Diceros bicornis minor: one gene and its partner. The protein of the gene in region 1 purifies or fractionates together with the protein of each later gene. This does not show direct contact. Links are inferred from orthologs where the notes say so. Each region holds a gene or a part of one and is shown on either strand. Other genes may lie near its edges. The genes, in order: SUPT7L and TADA2B.

The links.
Region 2: the proteins of SUPT7L (region 1) and TADA2B purify together in Homo sapiens (affinity purification with mass spectrometry; 3 studies listed by BioGRID and IntAct, counting the BioPlex papers as one, with this or other methods). This does not show direct contact. The link is inferred for Diceros bicornis minor from reciprocal best matches to the Homo sapiens genes SUPT7L and TADA2B.

What each region holds. Positions count from the first base shown.
Region 1 is NC_080751.1:55,262,025-55,272,698, reverse strand, and holds the start of SUPT7L (STAGA complex 65 subunit gamma), read right to left. Parts: upstream 5,193-10,674; 5' UTR 5,134-5,192; intron 4,985-5,133; exon of another isoform or gene 4,702-4,984; intron 4,692-4,701; exon of another isoform or gene 3,935-4,691; 5' UTR 3,833-3,934; intron 3,199-3,832; 5' UTR 2,994-3,198; coding exon 2,581-2,993; intron 1-2,580. Other genes in the region: SLC4A1AP (kanadaptin), read left to right, coding at 5,288-5,941, 6,158-6,353, 7,803-7,925, 8,701-8,761, 9,084-9,223.
Region 2 is NC_080747.1:4,831,413-4,841,966, reverse strand, and holds the start of TADA2B (transcriptional adapter 2-beta), read left to right. Parts: upstream 1-5,541; 5' UTR 5,542-5,556; coding exon 5,557-5,826; intron 5,827-10,554. Other genes in the region: CCDC96 (coiled-coil domain-containing protein 96), read right to left, coding at 3,295-4,917. UniProt on the Homo sapiens protein: Coactivates PAX5-dependent transcription together with either SMARCA4 or GCN5L2.

The DNA of each region.
Region 1 (10,674 bases):
ACAAAGGAAGCAAATAGATAAAAATAAAATAGGGTACAGAAAATTTCTCTTCCCTGCTCTGTACTTGGCATGTGTCACCAGGTGCTGTACAAGAATGCTTGAGGAGCTATCTACCTACTTTACTATTATCTGCTCAGTTGCAACTACTGCCATTCACATAAGTTGAAAAGTAAGAAAACCAATTGCCAAATAACTTTTCATTTACTATTTCCATCATCATTTCCTATGGCCAGTCTCCCTGGGCCAAAAGCTAAAGGCCTCAGAAGTGCCTAATAAATGGAGCGAGCTAAACCAGTATCGCTTTACTTGAGTAATTTATAGACCTATTTCAAAGGAAAATAATTCTTTTGGCACCCCCATAGCTGATGCAAATTATTTCTGTTATACAGTTTTTTAAATATGTATAAAACAAACTAGTATAAACTTTTGATGTTCATAGCTCTAACAATTAAAATTAGAATTTTGACACAAAACTACAAAATTCTAAATAACAGCCTCAATTTAATATGAAGGACGATGTTATTTTGTTAAAACTAAATTGCCCCTGACAACCCTACAACTGTGATATACAACTATGTACTAGGGCTTTGGGGAGAAAAAAAAAAACAGAAAGATTGGCAACAGATGTTATCACAGCGCCAATCTTCCTCAAAAAAAAAAAGTTTTATTTAAAAAACAAAAAACTAAACTAAATTACCCTCAAAATGTAAATATGGTACTGATTGCTACAGAGCAAATTGGGCCTATCTGTACTAACATGTGCCAGGCATGTAATAAGATAGTTATCCCTCCCCTTTTCACTACTCCAACAACTTCAGAATCTTTGATTATGCAACGCACCAGGACACCATCTGGCCTTCATCTAGGCCAACTGGAACCTTTACATGTAAGTCTATTTCTGTTCTTTTCTCATTAGTTTGGGACAAGTAAAACAGTAGTAATTATTATCATCAATAGGCAGATGCAATAAGTGATCTATAATACTACTTATGTGGTATTTTTGCCAAACATATTTAACCTGAATCTAATCTTGAGGAAATAATCAGCAAATTCAGTAAGTGGGACATTCTACTACAAGACAAATGACCCGAACTGTTTTTTTTTTTTTTTTGTGAGGAAGATCAGCCCTGTGCTAACATCTGCCAATCTTCCTCTTTTTTTGCTGAGGAAGACTGGCCCTGGGCTAACATTCGTGCCCATCTTCCTCCACTTTATATGGGATGCCGCCACAGCATGGCTTGCCAAGCGGTGCGTCGGTACGCGCCCAGGATCCGAACCAGTGAACCCCGGGCCGCAGCAGCGGAGCGTGTGCACGTAACCACTTGTGCCACTGGGCCAGCCCCCCAAACTCTTAAAAAAGATTACTATCATGTTTTTTAAAAAAGAGGAAGCTATTCTGGCTTAAAAGACACTAAAGAGGCCTAACAACCAAGTGCAATGCATGAATCTTTGTTAGGTCCTGGATTGGGGAAAAATATATCTAAAAAGATATTTTGGGGACAAGTGGAGAAATCTGAATATAGACTTACTAAATGATATTATTTAATTAGTGTTCACTTATTTTGGTGTGACAATGGTATTGGGATTCTGTAGGAAAATAATAAAATTATTCTTAGTACAAGGGAAAGAATTTAGGCGTAAAATATTGTAATGTCTGCCACTTTAAAATATTTGGTATACGTGTATGTATATATATGTTTCTATATTTGTGTGTATATGTGTGTATACACACACATATGTGAGAGAAAGTAAATGTGGCAAAATGTTAACAATTGGTGAATCCAGGTGAAGGGTATTTGGGTGTTCATTGTACTATTATTTTAACTTTTCTATAGGTCTGACAAATTTCAAAACGAAAAGAAAAAAAGTAATTTGGCACCAAATGCAAACTTACACATTGAAATCTAGTAGTAGCACTAGGTTATAAGGTAGTCATTCAGAGGATCTGGAGCAGGGCTTCTCAAACTCAAATACCCATATGAATCTCCTGGAGATCTTGTTAAAATGAAGATTCTGATTTAGCAGGTGTGGGTGGGGCCTGAGACTCTGAATTTCTAACAAGCTCCTAGGTGATGTTGATTTTGAGTAGCATGGATCAAGAACATTTTTATATTATTATTTCTTAAACTATGTTATCAAAATGCAAACATACAATTAAAAAATTCTTATATAGAACTTGTGGATTCCTAATAGTACGAGAATGAGTCCATGAATCTCAGTTTGAGGACTCTGAGCCAAACCCATAATATACATTTTAAATTAAACAGAAAGACTAGACCCTGAGGACTATGAGGCCATGGCCTATTTTACATACCAGTGTAGTACCTTGCTCCTAGCAAAGTGCTTGGCACATAGCAGGCACTCAATAAATATCTGTTGCATCAGAAAATAAAAAAATATAGACTTTGGATTTGGAAGATCAGGGTTCAAGTCTTAGACTTCCCACTAATTACCTGAGCAACTGTGGCCAAGTCAATTACCCTTATCCTCAGTTTCTTCATGGAAATGTTATTACATGCTTAACAGGGTTGCTGGGAAGATTATTTGAAAAAAGTAAGACACAGCAAAGCCTTGCCTTACCGATAAAAGTCACTCTCTGGGTCACTGTGCCGGATCTGGAATGGTGCATTGGGATTCTTACAGTCTAAAGGAAGGAGGTCATCAGGAAGAGGAGGTGACCCAGGGCAGGAGGGAAGAGGTTCACTCTCTTCAGTCTTTACACCTTCTGTCTGTTGCTGATTCTGGGCCTGAGCTGTGGCAATGAGGTTGCGCAGACGTCGGTTGTGCTGGATAAGCTGAATGGTATGGATGGTGAGGCTGCATGGCTCTGAGGGGATGTCCAACATAGTGGGGGGCTTGGGCTTGTTGGCTGAGGGTTGGTGCAGAGGAGGGTCATGGACTTCCACCAGACGGAACTCCCGTGGGAGCAAATCAAAGGAACTTCTGTTGGCCTGGCTTGATGAGATTGGTATCTCTCCCCAGTATCTCAACATTTTGGAATAAGAAAGGAAGAGCTTCCAAGTTAAATGTAGATGATATCCTAAACTAGTGTCTTTAAATCTCTGGCAACTGTAGGTTATAAACTTCTGTAGTGAAAAATATGAAGTCTAGCCCGTTATTTACATAAAAAGTAGGTTGTTCAGGACCACTCAGAAAAATGTCAGTGTCACCAACACTGTAGGACCGAAGATGTTCTCCCTGAAGAAATTAAGAGAAATATAACTGCTAGAAGCTAGTCATCACAATCACACACAATGACAATTCATATTAGACTGAACCACAAGGTGGAATTTGGGTCACTAGTAGACTAACAGCTGCAATAGTATCTGGGGCTGTAGTGTCCATGTTTTCCATCTCACCCCCCTAACTCATTACTAGAACTACCATCATGCCCAATCCTGAACAATTTTCAAGACAAGATACTTAAATGAGACCTGGAATATTTCTCAAGAGTATTTTGACATATCTGTCCCAGATCAGTGGGAGAAAGGGGAGTAGAGTTAAAGATAGACAGAGGTGGTTCTTATACTATGTGTATCAGGCATGGGAACCTTTTAACTGATCTGGTGAAAAAAGCTATTAACCACCAGTCTAAATGGTCCTATGCGTGCAACTTCTGACATATATAGGGAAGAATCTGGGAGATTTCTGCTGCCTCTTAACTGGTATTCCTTATTTTAGTCTCGCCTTATATCTAATCTATCCTCCATAGTGCTGCTAGACTTAATATTTTTAACTCAGATCTAATGGCTTCCCATTGTCTACAGGAAAAAGTCAGTCAAAATTCTTTGGCTCTCCATTCAACAAAATTTACAAACTGGCTTCAACTCACCTTTCCAGATTCATTGCCCATATGTCTCTTCAAATTCAACAAACATTTATCAAATGCCAGGTATTATGTGAGGAGACAAAGACTAAGGCCAAGATCTCCGACCTGGGGTGAGGGAGAAAAACATAAACAGAACGCTTCAATATGAAAGTGTGGGCTTAGTGCTGTTCTAGAGGTGCAGACCTGGTGCAGTGGAAGCACAAAGGAAGAGATTCCTGGAGACAATGACCACCCTAGTTCTAACGGTATCATACTACTCATTTTAAGAATGCCATGCATTTCCACAGTTGACTCTTTAAGCTGTGATCTCTGTCAGCAATGCCCTGCCACCCACCACATCCCTGGCAGACTTGTCTTCATTCTTAAGTATAGCTTAAGTCACCACCTTCCATCACCTACCCAGTACATCCTCCTTCATTATATTCTCACAGCACTTTGCATATCTCTGTCACAGCATTTATCCCTAGACTTAACTAGTATTCATCGCAATCAATTTTATTCTCTCATCTATCCCTCACGACCACAATCTTAGTACAGTGTCTGCAACACAGTAATTATCTGGCATTTAATTAGTGCCCACTATGTGCCAGCCTTTGCCTTTACTGTTTAATTCAATTCTCCCAACTACCCTATAAGTAGACAAAATTATTATCCCATTTTTCAGATGTGGAAGGTGAGGCCCACTGTCTTGCCTAATGTCAGAAACAGCTGAGAGGGAAAATCAAGACAGTCAGTCTCCAGAGTCTGCAGTCTTAACAACTACACTACGTTGCCTCATTAACTGGTTTCGGAAAGCATATAAAAATGAACGAATAAATGAATGAACAAAATGACAGAAAGAAAAAAAAAACCGCCCTCTTCCCTAACTTCACCCAAAGGAGCACGAAGGGGAGGCACCAAGCCCAAGCAATGCCCAAGTCCCTCGGGGGGCTCCTCGGTCACGGTCAGCGGGCGCAGGCGCCAATCACAGGATCCTGGGGTCGCCTGATGCTCGGAGCGGCCGGCAGACGGCAGGTCTGACCCTGGACCGAGGCACGGAGGCGCCACTATTCACTGCCGCGGCGCAGGAGCCGGGCTGGGCGGCCGTACGGCCCCAGAGGCCTGAGGCGAGGGTCGCGAAAGGCCCGGAAGGCTGGTTTGTTGATTAGCGGTCCAAGCCTGCCGGAAGCGTTTCTTCTCAATCAAGCTAAGCCACAGGAAGTTATTACAATCCGGTTGCAACCTCTAAAGATGTCCCCATTCTGACAGCACCCCGACCGCCTTTTTCTGTTTTTCTCTTGTTATGATCTTCCCGTGATACTCACCTCTTCACAGCGTTCTGGGTCGTGAAGGAGCAACTCCACCATCGCTGGCCAGAGAAGCCTCTGGGAGCTGGGGAGAGGGAGGCGCGGAGAGGAACGTAGAGACCGAAGGGTGACGTTTCCTAGGAACAGATTTCGAGACTGCACCCGATTGAGGATGGCTGATAGTCCCACTCAGTGCGAGCCGCTGGCCTCGCAAGAACTCAGTAGAGACTTCAAGAAGCCAGCTCTGCCGGTGCCCCCGGCGGTGCGGGACAAGGCCGCGGACCGCAATCCTTCAAACCCTGACGAGGTGAAGAAGGAAAGGCCCACGGCGCTGCTGGACCCCGATTCCGAGAAGCCTGATGTCCCGCCGGACAGCGGGGAGGCTCGGAGTCCCCCAGAGGAGCAGCCGCGGCCCCTCGCAGCGGCTCCTTCCCCTGGTGGCCCGGGCCGGGCCCCGCCTTACCGAGAGCCGCCGTGGGGCGGCCCTGCCACAGCCCCCTACAGCCTAGAGACCCTGAAGGGCGGCACCATCCTTGGCACCCGGAGCTTGAAAGGGACGAGCTGCTGCCTTTTCGGGAGGCTGCCTAGCTGCGACGTATGCCTGGAGCACCCCTCGGTGTCTCGCTATCACGCCGTGCTGCAGCACCGGGCGCCCGGCCCGGAGGGAGAATGCGACGGCCACGGGCCCGGCTTCTACCTCTACGATCTGGGAAGCACCCACGGCACTTTTCTTAACAAAACCCGCGTCCCACCCCGCACCTATTGTCGGATCCACGTCGGGCATGTTCTTCGCTTTGGAGGCAGCACCCGGCTCTTTCTTCTTCAGGTAAGTAGAAAAACCTAGAATTGAAATTTCTGGAGCCCACCGGGCTGGGTTCCTGAGCTCTTTAAGCTTTCAATGAGGAAGAAGATTCTCCCAGTTAGTGATTACAAAAGTGGAATCTGGCCTTTCATGTCCAGATCTCTGTATACATTGCCATATTTCTGAAAGTGACTTCAACAATCCTGAACTCTAAAAGAATTCTTTCGCTTGTTTCATCAGGGACCAGAGGAAGACCGAGAGGCAGAATCCGAGTTGACAGTCACCCAATTGAAGGAACTGCGCAAGCAGCAGCAAATGATGTTGGAGAAGAAGATGCTAGGAGAAGACTCAGATGAAGAGGAGGAAATGGATACCACTGAAAGGAAGAAAAATACTAGTGGTCAAGATGATGAAGTGGGCTGCACCTGGGGAATGGGTAAGAAATTACAATTGCTGCCAGAGGTTAATATTTTAAATTCATTGCTAGCAGTATCTTTTTTTTTTTTTTAATCATACGGCTGTTCATGACTCTATGAGATAGGTAGGACAAATACTGTTTGCACATGAAGTTATCAAAACTCAGAGAGATTCCTTACTTTTCTGATGTCAAGAAATTGAACTATGAGCACTATGGATTTCTTCTAATGTGTTTTACAGTACAGTCTTGTTCAAAACTGTTCTTCAGCATACAATTTATTTTTTTTACCATTTAAAAAAATATATAAGTACTGACCTTGATTATCACTGGAGGGGATGGAACTACATTCAATCAAATAAAATGGAATGTTTTCAATATAGGATATTACCTCGAATCTTTTGTACTTTGTGTAAATACCCTGAAATGTGAAATATCTAATCAGGGAAAGCTGGTCCCTTAGCCAAACGAATAAATTGAATTTTCCACAACACCAGACATTTTGGAAGATGGGTGTTTAGGAGGTAGGAATATAAAAAGATAGAAGATAGCCTTAATATGTTGTTGGGAAGACAGGATAAATGAAATTACTTGTGGTAAGTGCCAGACAAAAGCTAGAAACCATAAATATGCTGGAGTAAAAGTTCAGAGAAGGGAGCCATCACTGAGGACTTAGACCTCGCTGTCCAATATGGTAGTCACTAGCCACATGTGCTTATTGGGCACTTACAGTATGGCTAGTCCAAACTGACATGTGCTGTAAATGTAAAATACACACTGGATTTCAAAGACTTAGTGTGAAAAAAGAATGTGAAATGTTCATAATATTTTTATATTGATTACTTGGTAATTTCACCTGTTTCTCTTACTTTTTTAATGTGGCTACTACAAAATATAAGATTACACATATGGCTTTCATTATATTTTTGTTGGGCAGCACTGACTTAGATCTTTAGGAAAGTTTATAAGTTTATAAACAGAAGGGTTTTGTGCTGGGACTTGAAGGATAAGAAGAGTATCCCTTGGGAAGTTGAGCATTGGGAGTGGTATTCAGGGCAGGGATTGATGATTTTAAGGGAATAATGAGTATACCAGTCTATTTGGTAGTTACGATATGCATTAGGAAATTCTATTGGAGACCAAGTATTAGACCCGGGTGTAAGAGAACAAGGATGCCAGGCTGAGGAGCTTAGATTTTTTCTGTACACAATGTGGTAGGTAATTTTGCTTTTAAAATGTAGTGATGGAAAAAAAAAAAATAAGGTGCCATGAAAACAAGTTTTAATTGTCATACAATTTAGAAAACCTGAAGATACTCTTACTGGTGGTTTTGTGGTTATCCTTTGCAGGTCCATCCCTTTCTTTTCATGACTGATAACTGTATCTTTATGCAGTCTGAAAGAATAATGGATGTCATTGAAATAGTCTCTTATGTCTGATTGTCTTTTCTTTCTTTCCCATCTCCTGTAGGAGAGGATGCTGTAGAGGATGAGGCTGAAGAGAACCCCATTGTCTTAGAGTTTCAGCAGGAAAGGGAGGCCTTTTATATAAAGGATCCAAAAAAGGCTCTCCAAGGGTTTTTTGACCGAGAAGGTATGTAAATAGATTCTGACGCTGCCAGCAAAATGTATCCACAGCAGTGTTGTTTTCTAGATCTTCAGGTACTTAGAAATGCTATATTTTATCTGCTCTCCTCCTTGTTTAGTTCTTATCCTTGTGGTCAGTTGCATCAGGTTTATTTTGAAAATAGTAAAAATCTTGTTAGTCTTTCTTCTCATTTTGGAAAAAAGGAAGTACTTTTTCCTGGCTTGTCTCATTCTTCTCGAAAAATCCTAGACTTGGGTGGTGGGGAGATTGGCCCAACTTCTTGTAATTTTTTGTTTCTAATTCACCTGATCTTTTGTAATTCTTACCTTGAATTTTCATTTTATATGATTAAAGATTGTTTCCACAGACAATTGTTTCAGTAGAGATGCTTTGAGAGAATATGTGTGTGTGTGTGTGTGTGTGTGTGTGTATGAATATATATATGAACTGGTTGTGTTCTGCACTTAACACATGTACTTCTAAAAACCAGGCAACTGTGATGAATTAACAGCTTAAGTCTACAACTTATAAAAAGTGTGAAAGCTACTGTACAGTGGTCAAAGCTATGAATGAAGAGTTGATTGTTTTGATCTGAGTTTGCTCTTCTTTGCCTCAAGCTCATCCTAATTTTATTATTGGATGATAATCCCTAGGAATGAGAAGTAGTCAATGTGATATGGGAACTTGATATTCTTATTTAACCTTTGCTCTGTTTTCTCCTTGTATCAACTAGTAATTGTCACATGCTGTTAAAATTGTTTTGTCTTTCTTCCTCCCACAGGAGAAGAATTAGAATATGAATTTGATGAACAGGGACATAGCACTTGGCTCTGTAGAGTAAGGTATGTTCTTTTCTCATAAATGTCCATTACAGCTGTAATTTACGATTATAGACAATAACCCAGAGAGTAACTTTAGTCTTAATTTTAGGCTATTCCTGAATTTGGGCCTTGATAGTTTAGTAACACATATTAATGGGGGGTGGGGTGGGATGAGTAAGAGAGAAGGAAAAGATTTGACATCCAACCTTGGCAAGATAAAACAAAATGAACTGAGAGATTAAAAAGCCATCTCAAAAAACATGACTATTATCACAGCGTATTAGTTTTTTTCATGAAAATTGGAGCTTAGTGCTGTGCTATAATTCCCTTCAAACTGATGCAGATTACCTGTGGATGATTCAACTGGAAAACAACTGGTGGCTGAGGCCATTCACTCAGGAAAGAAAAAAGAAGCTATGATCCAATGCTCACTGGAAGCTTGTCGAATCCTCGATACTTTGGGATTGCTGAGGCAGGAGGCAGGTGAGCATGTGGGAACATGTTTTTTCTTTAAAAAAAAAAAAAAGGAAAATTTAATACAAAAGGTAACAAAACCTTTTTTTAGAGGGAAATGTAAATTGTATAAAATTCTATGAAGTGACAAGAAAAAATTCCCTATCTCACTCTCTGAAGGTAGCCATTGTTTATTTATATTCTCCCAGACAGTTTCTGTGCATATAGATGTGTGTTCAGAACGAGATCCTTTAACAAAAAACAAATACTCATACACAAATGCAATTATATTGCTTATAGTCTTTTGTGACTTATTTAGCATAAGAATGTATCATGGATATTATCCATATCATTGCATTAAATTTACCTCATTTAAAAAAAAACTCTCGGGCCGGCCCGGTGGCTTGGTGGTTAAGTGTGTGCGCTCCGCTACTGGCGGCCCTGGTTCGGATCCCAGGTGCGCACCGACGCACTGCTTCTCCAGCCATGCTGAGGCCGCGTCCCACATACAGCAACTAGAAGGATGTGCAACTATGACATAACAACTATCTACTGGGGCTTTGGGGCAGAAAAAGAAAGGAGGAGGATTGGCAATGGATGTTAGCTCAGAGCCGGTCTTCCTCAGCAAAAAGAGGAAGATTAGCACGGATGTTAGCTCAGGGCTGATCTCCCTCACAAAAAAAAAAAAAACCAAAAAAAAACTCTCGGGGGCCGGCCCCGTGGCTTAGCGGTTAAGTGTGCGAGCTCCGCTGCTGGCGGCCCGGGTTCGGATCCCGGGCCCGCACCGACGCACCGCTTCTCCGGCCATGCTGAGGCTGCGTCCCACATACAGCAACTAGAAGGATGTGCAACTATGACATACAACTATCTACTGGGGCTTTGGGGGAAAAAATAAATAAATAAAAATTATTTAAAAAAAAAAAACAAGCTCTCGGAGTCGGCCCCGTGCCATAGTGGTTAAGTGCATGCATTCCACTGCTGGCGGCCCGGGTTTGGATCCCAGGCGTGCACCAAGGCAGCACTTGTCAGGCCATGCTGTGGTGGCGTCCCATATAAAGTGGAGGAAGATGGGCACGGATGTTAGCCCAGGGCCAGTCTTCCTCAGCAAAAAGAGGAGGATTGGCAGATGTTAGCACAGGGCTGATCTTCTTCACAAAAAAAAAAAAAACAAAAAACCTCTGTTTATACCATCATTTATTAGTAAGGCTTATATTATATTTTTATTTACTCTAAAATTAATTTTTATTATTGCAAAGTAATTTATATATAGTTAAAACTACCAAAGGCTTAAAACAAACTATACTTGTTTCTCATGTTGCCCCTCCCCAGTCTTCATCCCTAGAAGGCTTTTAACTCTTTCGGTTATTTCTTCTGGCATTTAAAAATATCCAAGAGTATGCTGTTATATTTTGAGCTATTTATTTTAAACATTATCTGTTGACTTTGTTAAATTAGTATCTAGTATTTACATGATTATGTTT
Region 2 (10,554 bases), on another chromosome or scaffold:
TGCTGAGGAAGACGGCCCTGGGCTAACATCGGTGCCCATCTTCCTCCACTTTATATGGGACGCCGCCACAGCATGGCTTACCAAGCAGCGCGTCGGTGCGCGCCCGGGATCCGAACCAGCGAACCCCGGGCCGCCGCAGCGGAGCGCGCGCACTTAACCGCTTGCGCCACCGGGCCGGCCCCTAATCATTGGTTATTTAAATAAAAACTAGACCCTTTGAAAGGAATATTACATGCGAAGTAGGAGACGGGAACTTGAGCAGTGTTGTTCCTGCCAGTCCTGGCTCCTGCTAGCTTCTGTGACGCTTCACCCCTACATGACGGAAGAAGTCTCCTGTAGTCCTGTCCATTCATAGCATTTGCATGATTTATCACTCTGACATTAAGACTATTGGAAAGTTGAAAACGTAAAAAGCACCAAATTGGGGTGCATTAATTCTGATGTTATTTTATGGACAGGCACCCCCCACCAGTGGCAAAAATCTAAATTATGGATGCAGGTGAAATTATAAAAAAAGAAAGCATATATATATTTCCACTTATATAATTTAAAAATCTCAAAAGTGGTAAGTCACCAAGTGATTTTCGTTTACCAATGAGAAAGTGTTTCTTTTTCAGATGCCTCGGGCTCTATCCAGGTAGTGCCCAATTCACTTCTGCCAATGGTCCCAAAAACAAACAGAAAACCTGCAACCTCCAAGGGGACACCAACTCAGACTAATTTTTAAAAAGTCTAGTTTCATATAATATCTCACTCAGATTTTATTGTGCCTGCATTTTCAGGCCCTGTACTCTTTGACAAGGAGATGAAAAAATGTTTAAGCTTTGATTTTAGCATTCATAAAATAATCTGTTTTAGAGGTTTCTAGTCCAGCCTCCAGCATCACTGGAGAAATCCCCCTCAAGGGAGTCCACGCTGGGATGGAGAGCTCTGATCTGTAGTACTGTCCTTCCATGACTACAAGCCTGCCTCCCCGTCATTTCCCTCAGTGGTCCTACTTGAGAGAGCTTCTTTCTACCTGAAATTATTTTTTAATCTGACATAGGACTTATCAATGCCTGATATATAATAGGCATTCAAGTAATACTTAATGTTCAGAAAATGAGACTGGGATTATGTTAATTCAACAAATTGAGCACTGATTATGTGCTAGGTAGGCACTGTGCTGGCTGAGAGGGAGGATGATAAGCCAACAGTCCTTGCCTTCCAGGGCCTCTGTCTCACTGGGGCACAGAGAGCTAGACAGACAATCACAAAGCAGTGGGTCAGAGGCGGGCATGGGGTGAAATGCAGGCTGCTGTGGGGCACAAAGGGCACATCAGCAAGACTATGGGTGAGGGTGCTTTCGGGTTTGTGGTGTTCTTCCTCAGAAGCAATCTATCTTAGAAACAATTTGTCAATGTGTTGCTATTTCATGATTAAGAGCTCTCCTGTAATCTAATTAGAAGAACCCTGTTATGAAGTAATCAACAGAAGATTATCTTCTAATTAATTGTAACATCTGCAGCACAAGGTAATATAATTTGAGAGAACATCGGTGACTTTGCAGCTTAAAGCAATGCCAACCTCATCAGTCTCTGTGTCTTTGTGCTTTCAGAGATCTGCTTGTCAGCCAGTTCAAGGCCGACGAGGGATGTTTGGTTCTATGTGGGTAACTGCCTGCCAATGGGTCAAAATCAGCTGAAAATACCTATTCTCCCTCTAGTGAATCAAAGGGATGGACACTCTTAGAATGAAGGCTGCTTGCTTGGTGAGGGCACCGAGCATATTGCCAGTTTCACTTTGAAGCCTTGCCACCACAGAAGAACCCAGGGGGCCTGTGCTGCTTTTAATTTGAAGCACAAAGAAAACAAAGTTGTATTTGCCAGTGATTTACTACTTCACTTTGGTCTGATAAACGGGGTAGAGGGAAGGAGAGTTATAGAGGATAAGGAGAATAGAAGCAGGAAGTCAATTTTTCACTCCCCTCGTTGTGTTTGTGTGGTTTGATAAGTACAATATAAGTGTATTCAAGCTGTGGAACTTAGAAAAGGAATTTTAATCAACCTTTATTGGCTTCAAAGGGAACACACTTTAGAAAAGAAAATCATGTCATCAAAAGATAGTTGTTTTGACATTCTTATGACCGAGTTATCTGCCTAGATGGGGTTTCCACCATTCTTTAAATGTACTTAGCACCCAAAAATAGATCACTCTTCTTATGATCCACTTAAGTTTAGAGATGGGAGAATACTTTTAATCCTAAATCTGCACTTCTCAAAATTCAACCTAAGATTAATAAATCCAAGCTCCTAGCTCCAAAAGCATCAAAGAAAACTGAAAAAGTTAATCACTGGTTAAGGGGATAGACCTATCAGGTATGTCTTACATTAACACAAGGAATAACAGACATTTTGATAGAGTAAAATGATGTGCATAGCCAGGGTCCTGTTGCCAAGATCCAAAAATATCTTCCTAAAAACAAAAGGCTTATGGACAGTCAGCAGTCACCACTCCATATATTTTGCACCTGGCAAAACACACAATACAATCATCATTTTGTCTTCACTGGAAAACAAAATTTCATTTTTTGTACCAATGAATGCATTTCTTTAGCAGATCCAGGAAAACGTCTCATTAGAATTGAAGACTGTCATTGAGCCAGAAACAAACATGTAATGGTTACACAGACCAAGCCTCCTTTCACTGAAAAAGGAAAGATGAAGGAACATCAGCTCCTTTTCCTACTTATCATTTCTCCTGTTTCCTGGATATTTTTTATTATCCCAGAAGCTAGTGCTACTTCCATACAAAACAATTTCAGATTAATCTAAAAGGGAATTAGTGAGCTTTGAATTGAGATAGTGACTCAGGACTACACAGTTTAATACATTCAAAGGGGATTTAATAATTAGCTTAATGCACAGGAATTTTTTTGGTACCCCGCCCATTTGTTGAACCCTCCTCCATATGGAAAAGGAACAGTTCTCAGTGTCAGGTCACTGACATTATGGAACTGCTCAGATATAAAAAGGCTTTTGACAGCTTTTTATGAGAAGTCAGGTACATTAAATCATCTCTGTTGTTTGCTTCTCTAGACCTATTTTACTTCAACGTACGTAAAACTGACTGCTAACCCAATTTTGTGCTTAGCACTAATTTGGAAACTGAAAAATTATGAGAAATACAAAATATAGTTCCATCCCAAATATCATAGGCCTTTTGAAGAATGGCAACAAATGGAGAATGAGAGTTAATGAAGCATGAAGTTTGCTGAGATGGAAGATGTTCTGCCAACTCTTCTCCTGAATCGTGTCAGGAGGGGAGAAAGGCTCTGGCTTCCCTGATCTTCTGCTTCACGCCTCTGCAGGACAGAGTAAGCCCGGCGTGATGGTGCTTCAGGGATTCTAAGCGCTGCTGGAGCAGTGCAGTCCTGTCCACCTTCTCTTCCAGGTCCCGGAGGAGTGATTCCTTGCCTAGAAGCCCACACTTCTGATTCAGCTTGATGTTGTCAAGCTGCAGGCTGTCTCGGGCTTGCTTAGTCTTAGTCAGGATGTCCCTCCTTAGGGCCACCTGAGCTTCAATTTCCAACAGTTGTGACTTTTTGCATGCATTTTCTATCTCCACAAAGTGTAACTTTTCCTTCACATGCGTTATTATTTGCACATTGTTGGTCACCTTGTTGCGCAGTTTCAGAAGCTCCTCATTTCGCTCCTCAACTTTCTCATTGAAAGTCTGGTTCTCAATCTTAAGCTGTTCAAAATCGATGAGGAGAAGGCCCTCAGTCAAGTCCTCCTGGGCCCTCATCCTGGTTTCAAAATGCACCAAGCTCTGCTTCAGCTGCACGTTTTCCAGCCTCACAGCGCTCATCTCCTTCTCCTTCCTGTCCTCCAATGCCTGGATCTGCTCCACTTCTCGCAGAGCGGCCTGGCGACCGCCCCTCATGCGACAGCTGCCCATGGCCTGCATCACCACCTGCTTCTTGAGTGCCTGGAAGCCTCGCCACTCCTTCTCCACCCTGGAGAGCTTCTCCTCGCACTGCTGCTTCAGCCGGTCCAGCTCCTGGTGATACCAGTCCAGGTCGTCGGCCTGCTGCTTCCTCAGCTCCTCCAGCACGGCCAGATGGCGTAGGTATGCCTGCTCCTTCTCGGGGGCCTCAGGCTCCATGCCCTTGTCCGGCACGTCGGCCGCATCCAGGCCCTTCTTCTTGCGCAGCGCCTCGGAGATCTTGTGCTGCAGGTAGATGTTGTAGCGCTGGCAGCGGCTCCGCTCCACCATCAGGGAGCGGTACTGTTCCAGGAGCTCAGAGCGCAGCTGCTGCTCCTGCAGCTTCTTGACCTCCTCGCTCCACTCGTAATCCTCATCCTCGAGGGCGTCGTCCAGACCTCTCGGCTCTTCCTCGGTTTTCGCCCGGCTTCCTTCCACACCCTTCTCGCTCTCCTCGCTCTCGTCCTCCTCCGGTTCCTCCCGCTCAGCCTCCCGGGCTGGCGCAGCCTCCTCCTGGCCGGCGGTGGACAGCGGCAGAGAGACCTGCGACGGGGCTTCCTTCCTCTTCCCACCCTCCGCCGCCCTCTCTTCTTCCTCCTCCTCCTCCCCCTCCTCCTCCTGGGGTTCCTCGGGCCCGCCTTTGGACGTCGGCTTGCCTGGCCTGTCAGGCCCGGCCTCGGCCGGCCACTCCGGCTCTCCGGGCCCCTCCTCGCCCGCAGCCTCGGCGGCCGCCAGCCCCTCCCGAAGCTCGGCCGGGTCGGCGGGCTCGGCCGTGGCGGCTCCTCCCTCCGAAGCCCCTACAGTCTCTGGCTCCGGCTCCACAGCGTCCGCGGGTTCGGCCGGCGACTGCGGGCCAGAGCTGGCCTTGATCCCGGACAGCCGCGAAGCCAGGCTCTCCACATCTCCGTCGTCGCCCTCGGAGTCCCCAGCGTGCTCGGAGTGGCCGTCCATCTCCCTCCGGCTGGGCCAGCGCCGCGGACCCGAGCGGCCGGCTGTTAGGTTTCCCGGGGCAACCAGGGGCGCGCGCGGTGGGCCCGGCGATTGGCCAGGCGTCAGCCCGATGCCCTGCCCCTTCTCCCCGCCTCCCGGCAGGAGCAGGCCAATGGGGTGGCGCGAGTGGACGACGGGCGGCGTTGACTGGAAGAGGGCGAAGGCTCGCGCCGCGAGGGGCGTGGCGCGCCCGCCTCGCTCGCGCCTCGCCCGTTTCCCAGCGCCGAGTCCGGGGCGGGGCCTCCAGGCGGCGCTGGCCGCGCGGGCGGCAGGCGCGAAAGGCGCGCAGGCGCAGAGCGGCGGGCCGGGTCCCCGCGCGGTGGCGCGCGCGGGGCGCCTGCGCGATGCGGCGGGGCGACGGCGGCGGCGGCGGCGGCCGGGCCGGGCCCGAGGGCGCCTGCGTGCTGAGGCGGGACGCGGCCGGGCTGGCCGGCTCCGGCGGCGCCTGGGCGGGGCGGCGCGGTGGCGGCGGCCGCGGCGGCGGCGGGCGGCGGTCGCTCGAGCGCGGCGGCGGGCCCGGGCGGCGGCGCGCTGACGGCGGCGGGCGCAGCGGCGGCGGCGGCGGCGGCGGCGGCGGGCCCGGGCGGCGGGCGGGGGAAGATGGCGGAGCTCGGTAAGAAGTACTGCGTGTACTGCCTGGCCGAGGTGAGCCCGCTGCGCTTCCGCTGCACCGAGTGCCAGGACATCGAGCTGTGCCCCGAGTGCTTCTCGGCCGGCGCCGAGATCGGCCACCACCGCCGCTACCACGGCTACCAGCTGGTGGACGGCGGGCGCTTCACGCTGTGGGGGCCCGAGGCCGAGGGCGGCTGGACCAGCCGCGAGGAGCAGCTGCTGCTGGACGCCATCGAGCAGTTCGGCTTCGGAAACTGGGTGAGCGGCCGCGGCGGACCGGGCGGCGCTCTGCGCGGGACGCGCGGGGGCTTCGTCCCCCCCGGGTTAATGCAGACGCGACCTGCACCTGCGCGCTCGGGCACAGCGCGGAGGGCAGGTGGCGCAGGGACGGGTAGCACGCCCGGTGTGTGCACGGGAAACCCCAGCGCAGAGAGGGTGAGCAGCATGCCCAAGGTCACACAGCCAGGAAGTGGCAAAGCGGGGCTTTGGACTGTGGCCTTCTGACAGCAGAGCTATTTTCCTAACCCTAAGGAGTATCTTAAATTGGTGGTTGCTGAGCGAGGGCTTCGGGCAAGACCCACGGCCTTACCTGAGTAGGAGTTGGTGGACATAGGCAAGTCAGCAAGCTTGACCCAGAGCGCTGAGCGAGGAGTTGGTTTTGCCTGGACAACAGCGGTGGTGAAGGCCAGACCAGCCTCACACACGCCCTGCGGCTTCTCCCACCGTCTCTGATGCGCTTACTTTGTACTCGGGCCCGCTAGCTCTGTGGGGTTGTCTGTGCATGTGCCCTGTGTCCCCTCGTTTATCCCTGGGTCCCCACAACACTCAGGACATTGACTGTATGAGGCCTGCTCAGTCAGTACCCAGCAGAGGAGCGTGGAGGAGGAGCCATCTGTCCTGGGTTTCCTCTGTCCATCTGTCAGGTTTCTGTAGATGTTTATCTGAGAAGAAAGGTGAGCACTGGATGGAATTCCTTTACCAAAGCAGGTAGTGTGCTGGGCACCTGGAGAGAGAAACGGGGTGCTCTTGTCTAGGTGGTCTCTGAGAGCGCTCTCTCCACTCTGCGTTAGAAAGGGAAAATCGGGCTGTATCCTGGTCCATGACTGCCGGAGATACGTGGCACCTCCAGGCGTTACGAAAAGTGGGGAGAAGAGACAAGACCCCAGCTCCTTAATCTTTCCAGACCCTTCCACCTGATGGTCCCCTACTTCCCTGGACCAGTATGTCATCTTGCTGCCACTTCTCCAGCAGTACTCCCTCCCTGCTGGGCTTGCTGGTGGAAGACATTCCTCACTTCTCCCCTCGTTCCTGTTCCCAAACCCCTCCTGCCTTTATTTCCTTTTGCTCTCCTTTCCATAAAGTGAGCCAGTCTTCAGGGACCAGTACCCGTTCTGCAGCCCTGGAATCTTTATTCTCCCAGCTCCTTAGAGACACAGCTCTACCAGTGCTCACCTAGCACCAGCATTGTGATCACCACCCTCCAGAACCCTCCATCTCACTTTGTCCTGAAATGCCGTTTGTGGATGTGTATTGAGCGTCTGCTCTGTGCACATTATACGATGCTGAAGGACTCTGAAGGAAAGCGAGGCTTCATCCTTGTCTGTAAGGGGCTTAAAGTGTTGTGATCGCTTGGTCCTGAGCCCGCAGCTCTTCCCTAAGCTGCAGCTGTCAGTGTCAGACCGCTACCTGCCTCCTCACTGCGTGTCTCACGGATACCTCGACCCGGACCTCGCATACCCGGACCTCGCATCACCTCACTCAGCTACTCCGGCTGCACCAAGAGCCATCCTCAGGTCCTTCCAGGCCCAGGTCAGCAGCAGCCCTTTCTTCCACATATTTCCAGAATCTTACCGCTTCTCACAACCTTAGTCCAGGCTGATGTTTATCTCTTGTTTTGACCGTTTTTGGAGCCTCCCAGCTGGTCTTGCTGGCTCGTTCTTATGTCCCATTGCCCATTCCAGACACCGTAATCAGAGTGATCTTGGAAGACGCGTCCCATCAGAGCCGCCTTCAGGGGCTTCCAGGTCTCCTTAGATTAAACTCCACGGCCTGCAGGGCCTTAAGGTGTCTCCAGACCGAGGGGGTCGCAGCTGCTGCCCCCTTGAGCATCTTTCATCTCTTCTGCTCGAGTGCTCTCCCCCCAAATCATGGCTCGTGACTGGGCTCTCTACTTACATATCAGCGCCCCAGAGAGACTTCCCTCCCCCGCTCCATTCTGACAGCGCTTATGTCTACCGTAGCAGCTACAAATAGCCGACGTGGACCGAGAGCCTTGCTGTGTGCCAGGCACTGTGCTGAGCTCCTGCTGCCTTTCTCGTGAAGTCTTCCCAGCAGCCCCTGGCAGCAGGTTTTGAACTAAATAGTTTGACTTCCGAGTCTGTACTCCTAGCTGTACTGTCTACACTGCCTTCCCTGCAGTACCATGGAAAATACACGAAAAGCAAGCCTGGGGACTAAAACATTTATAGTGTGTTGGAGGAAGCATGGGGCTGGAAGGGGACGTTCTCTAAAGCAGTATTTTTCCGACTTTCCTGTGCACACAAATCACCTGGGGAGCTTGTTAAAATGCAGATTCCTACTCAAAGCAGGCAGCACGTCTCAGCTGTTGTGAGAGACAAAGCCGGAGGAGGAGGGGCTTGGGCCTGGGTGCCGTGGGGCCATCTCCTTGCTGAGCCAGTGGTGGGTTCAGGGAGAGGCCTAGATTCTGCATGCTGACCGCGCCTGGGGAGCTGCCAGGCTGCCACCCACGGGCCACACTCTGAGGAGGGGCTTCCAGTATCTCTCTAGCTGTGCTCTCTTGGGCCAGCTGCTCTACCCGCTGAGCTTCACTGTGCTTCGTCGGAGGCTCTTCTGCAGCTCTGAGATGTGTGGTTCCCTTCTGAGCAGATTTCCAGATACGTGCACATGAGCGGCATGTCCTGCGTATGCCGTATTTAGCATGCGCCTGTTTTGGACAAGACTCTTTCCGTACATGTCTCGTGCTCTTCGCAGCAGCCTGTGGGATGGGTTCTTAGTTTACAGTTGAAGAACAGCGACTCTGAGAATTTAAAATACTTGTCCAGGATGCCCCGGCTTTTCACGTCCTAAAACCAGGGTTTAGGTGCAGGCCTGTCTGATTCCGAAGTCAGTGCCTTAACTTCTCCGTGTTAAGAGCATTAACTACTATGGGTCGGAGCCTGGGAGCTTACTGGTGCATCTGAAGGTGTGGCTGGACTGGAAGGGCTTTTCAGAGGAGTGGAGTCCTGACTGGTTCAGCGGGAGGTTAGTGTGTGGGCTGGGGAAGCAGGAAGGTGAGCGGGTACACGCAGGAACCAGGTTTCACGGGCTGGATGTGGAGTTTAGAGAAGGGCAGTGTGCGCATCGGGACAGTGCTGTAGTGGAAGGTGAGACTGTTCATTCTAATTTCTCAGATGGCACGTGTGACCTGTGACTTGGGGTTGTACTGCTTTGTGTGGAGTCCATGGGGATGGGCTGATTTCAGGAGCCCTGGGGGCTGTTGCTGAAGTGTGGGGCCATTTGCTCACATTTTATCCTGGGGCTCAGGCACAGGGACCGACGGGAATGGACATGGCTGAGGGATGCTAACAGTAAGGCCTGGAGGGTTTGGGGACAAGCACTGTGGCCAGGCTCTAACACTGCATGCCCACGTGTTTGATGACGAGTGGCAGAGAGGATGGGTGGGGAGACGCCTGTGAAGACGAGGCCAGGGTAGTGTTGGCAGGCTGACAGTGACCCACAGAGTCACATCACCACGGCTATTGAGAGCCTCGAGGCAGCTGGTTTTGTGGTGGGTGCTGCACAGGTTCAGAGAGGATACAGATCCTGCTGGAGCACAGACACAGTCGTAAACACAAAGGTGAAATATTTTATGATGATTAGAGACTGTGGTAGATGGGCCTTAGGTTCGTTGATTGGTTGCCAGAGGACTTGAACAGTTTGAGGATGGCCAAAGCTCCTTTGCAGATGGTGGTCAGGACGATGCAGGGGGAAGGAAGGTTCAAGTTAGCTTTGAAGGTAGATGTCAAATTAGGAATATACGTACGTTCTCTGTGGGCTGCTCAGGGCCTTGTGCATGTGTACGTATGTTCAGGCCAATTATTGCAGGCAGGTGGATGCCATGAGTAGAGTTTTACTTTTGTAGATGATGGACATCCAAAAGGCTGGCTAGGGGCCGGCCCGGTGGTGCAAGCGGTTAAGTGTGCGTGCTCTGCTGCGGCGGCCAGGGGTTCGCCGGTTTGGATCCCAGGCACGCACCGACGCACCGCTTGTTAAGCCATGCTGTGGCGGCGTCCCATATAAAGTGGAGGAAGACGGGCACGGATGTTAGCCCAGGACCAGTCTTCCTCAGCAAAAAAGAGGAGGATTGGTATCGGATGTTAGCTCAGGGCTAGTCTTCCTCACAAAAAAAAATAATAATAATAAAAAACAAAAGGCTGGCTAATACCAGATGGGTAGATAATCATTGCATTGTGCATTCGTTCATTGATCCATCCATTCGTCCAAGCCTATTATATGTCAGCCCGTGTTAGAGGCACAGAATATCCCCCAGCATGTGGTTTGTGGTGAAGACATGGATGGAGGTGAGACAGCTGTGTGACCTTGTGCAGTGTTGTATGATTACGGGGACGCAGGATCTCCTTTGGTGGAAAGGAGAAGAGAAGGCTTTCCAGGTGGGAGGATAGTGTGGATAGGGAGGTTTTTCGCCTTCTAGGAGTCTGTTGTGTTCAGGAACCAGGCAAAAGCCAGCTTGCCTACAGTGGAGGATTTGGGTTGGGGACAGGTAGGTAAGGTTGTGTGGAGTGACCATTGAAAAGCCTCGAGCACCAGGCCGTGAGGGGAGAACTGGGATTCTGAAGCTGATTCTGACTGAGCGGTCGCTGAGCGCCGGGCCCCAAGCTGGGTGGGCACTGTGACATCCACTCTCAGTCCTCCGCTTGCCCCCTATCCCTCCTCATTTACAAACGAGGAGACAGCTGTGGGTGATGA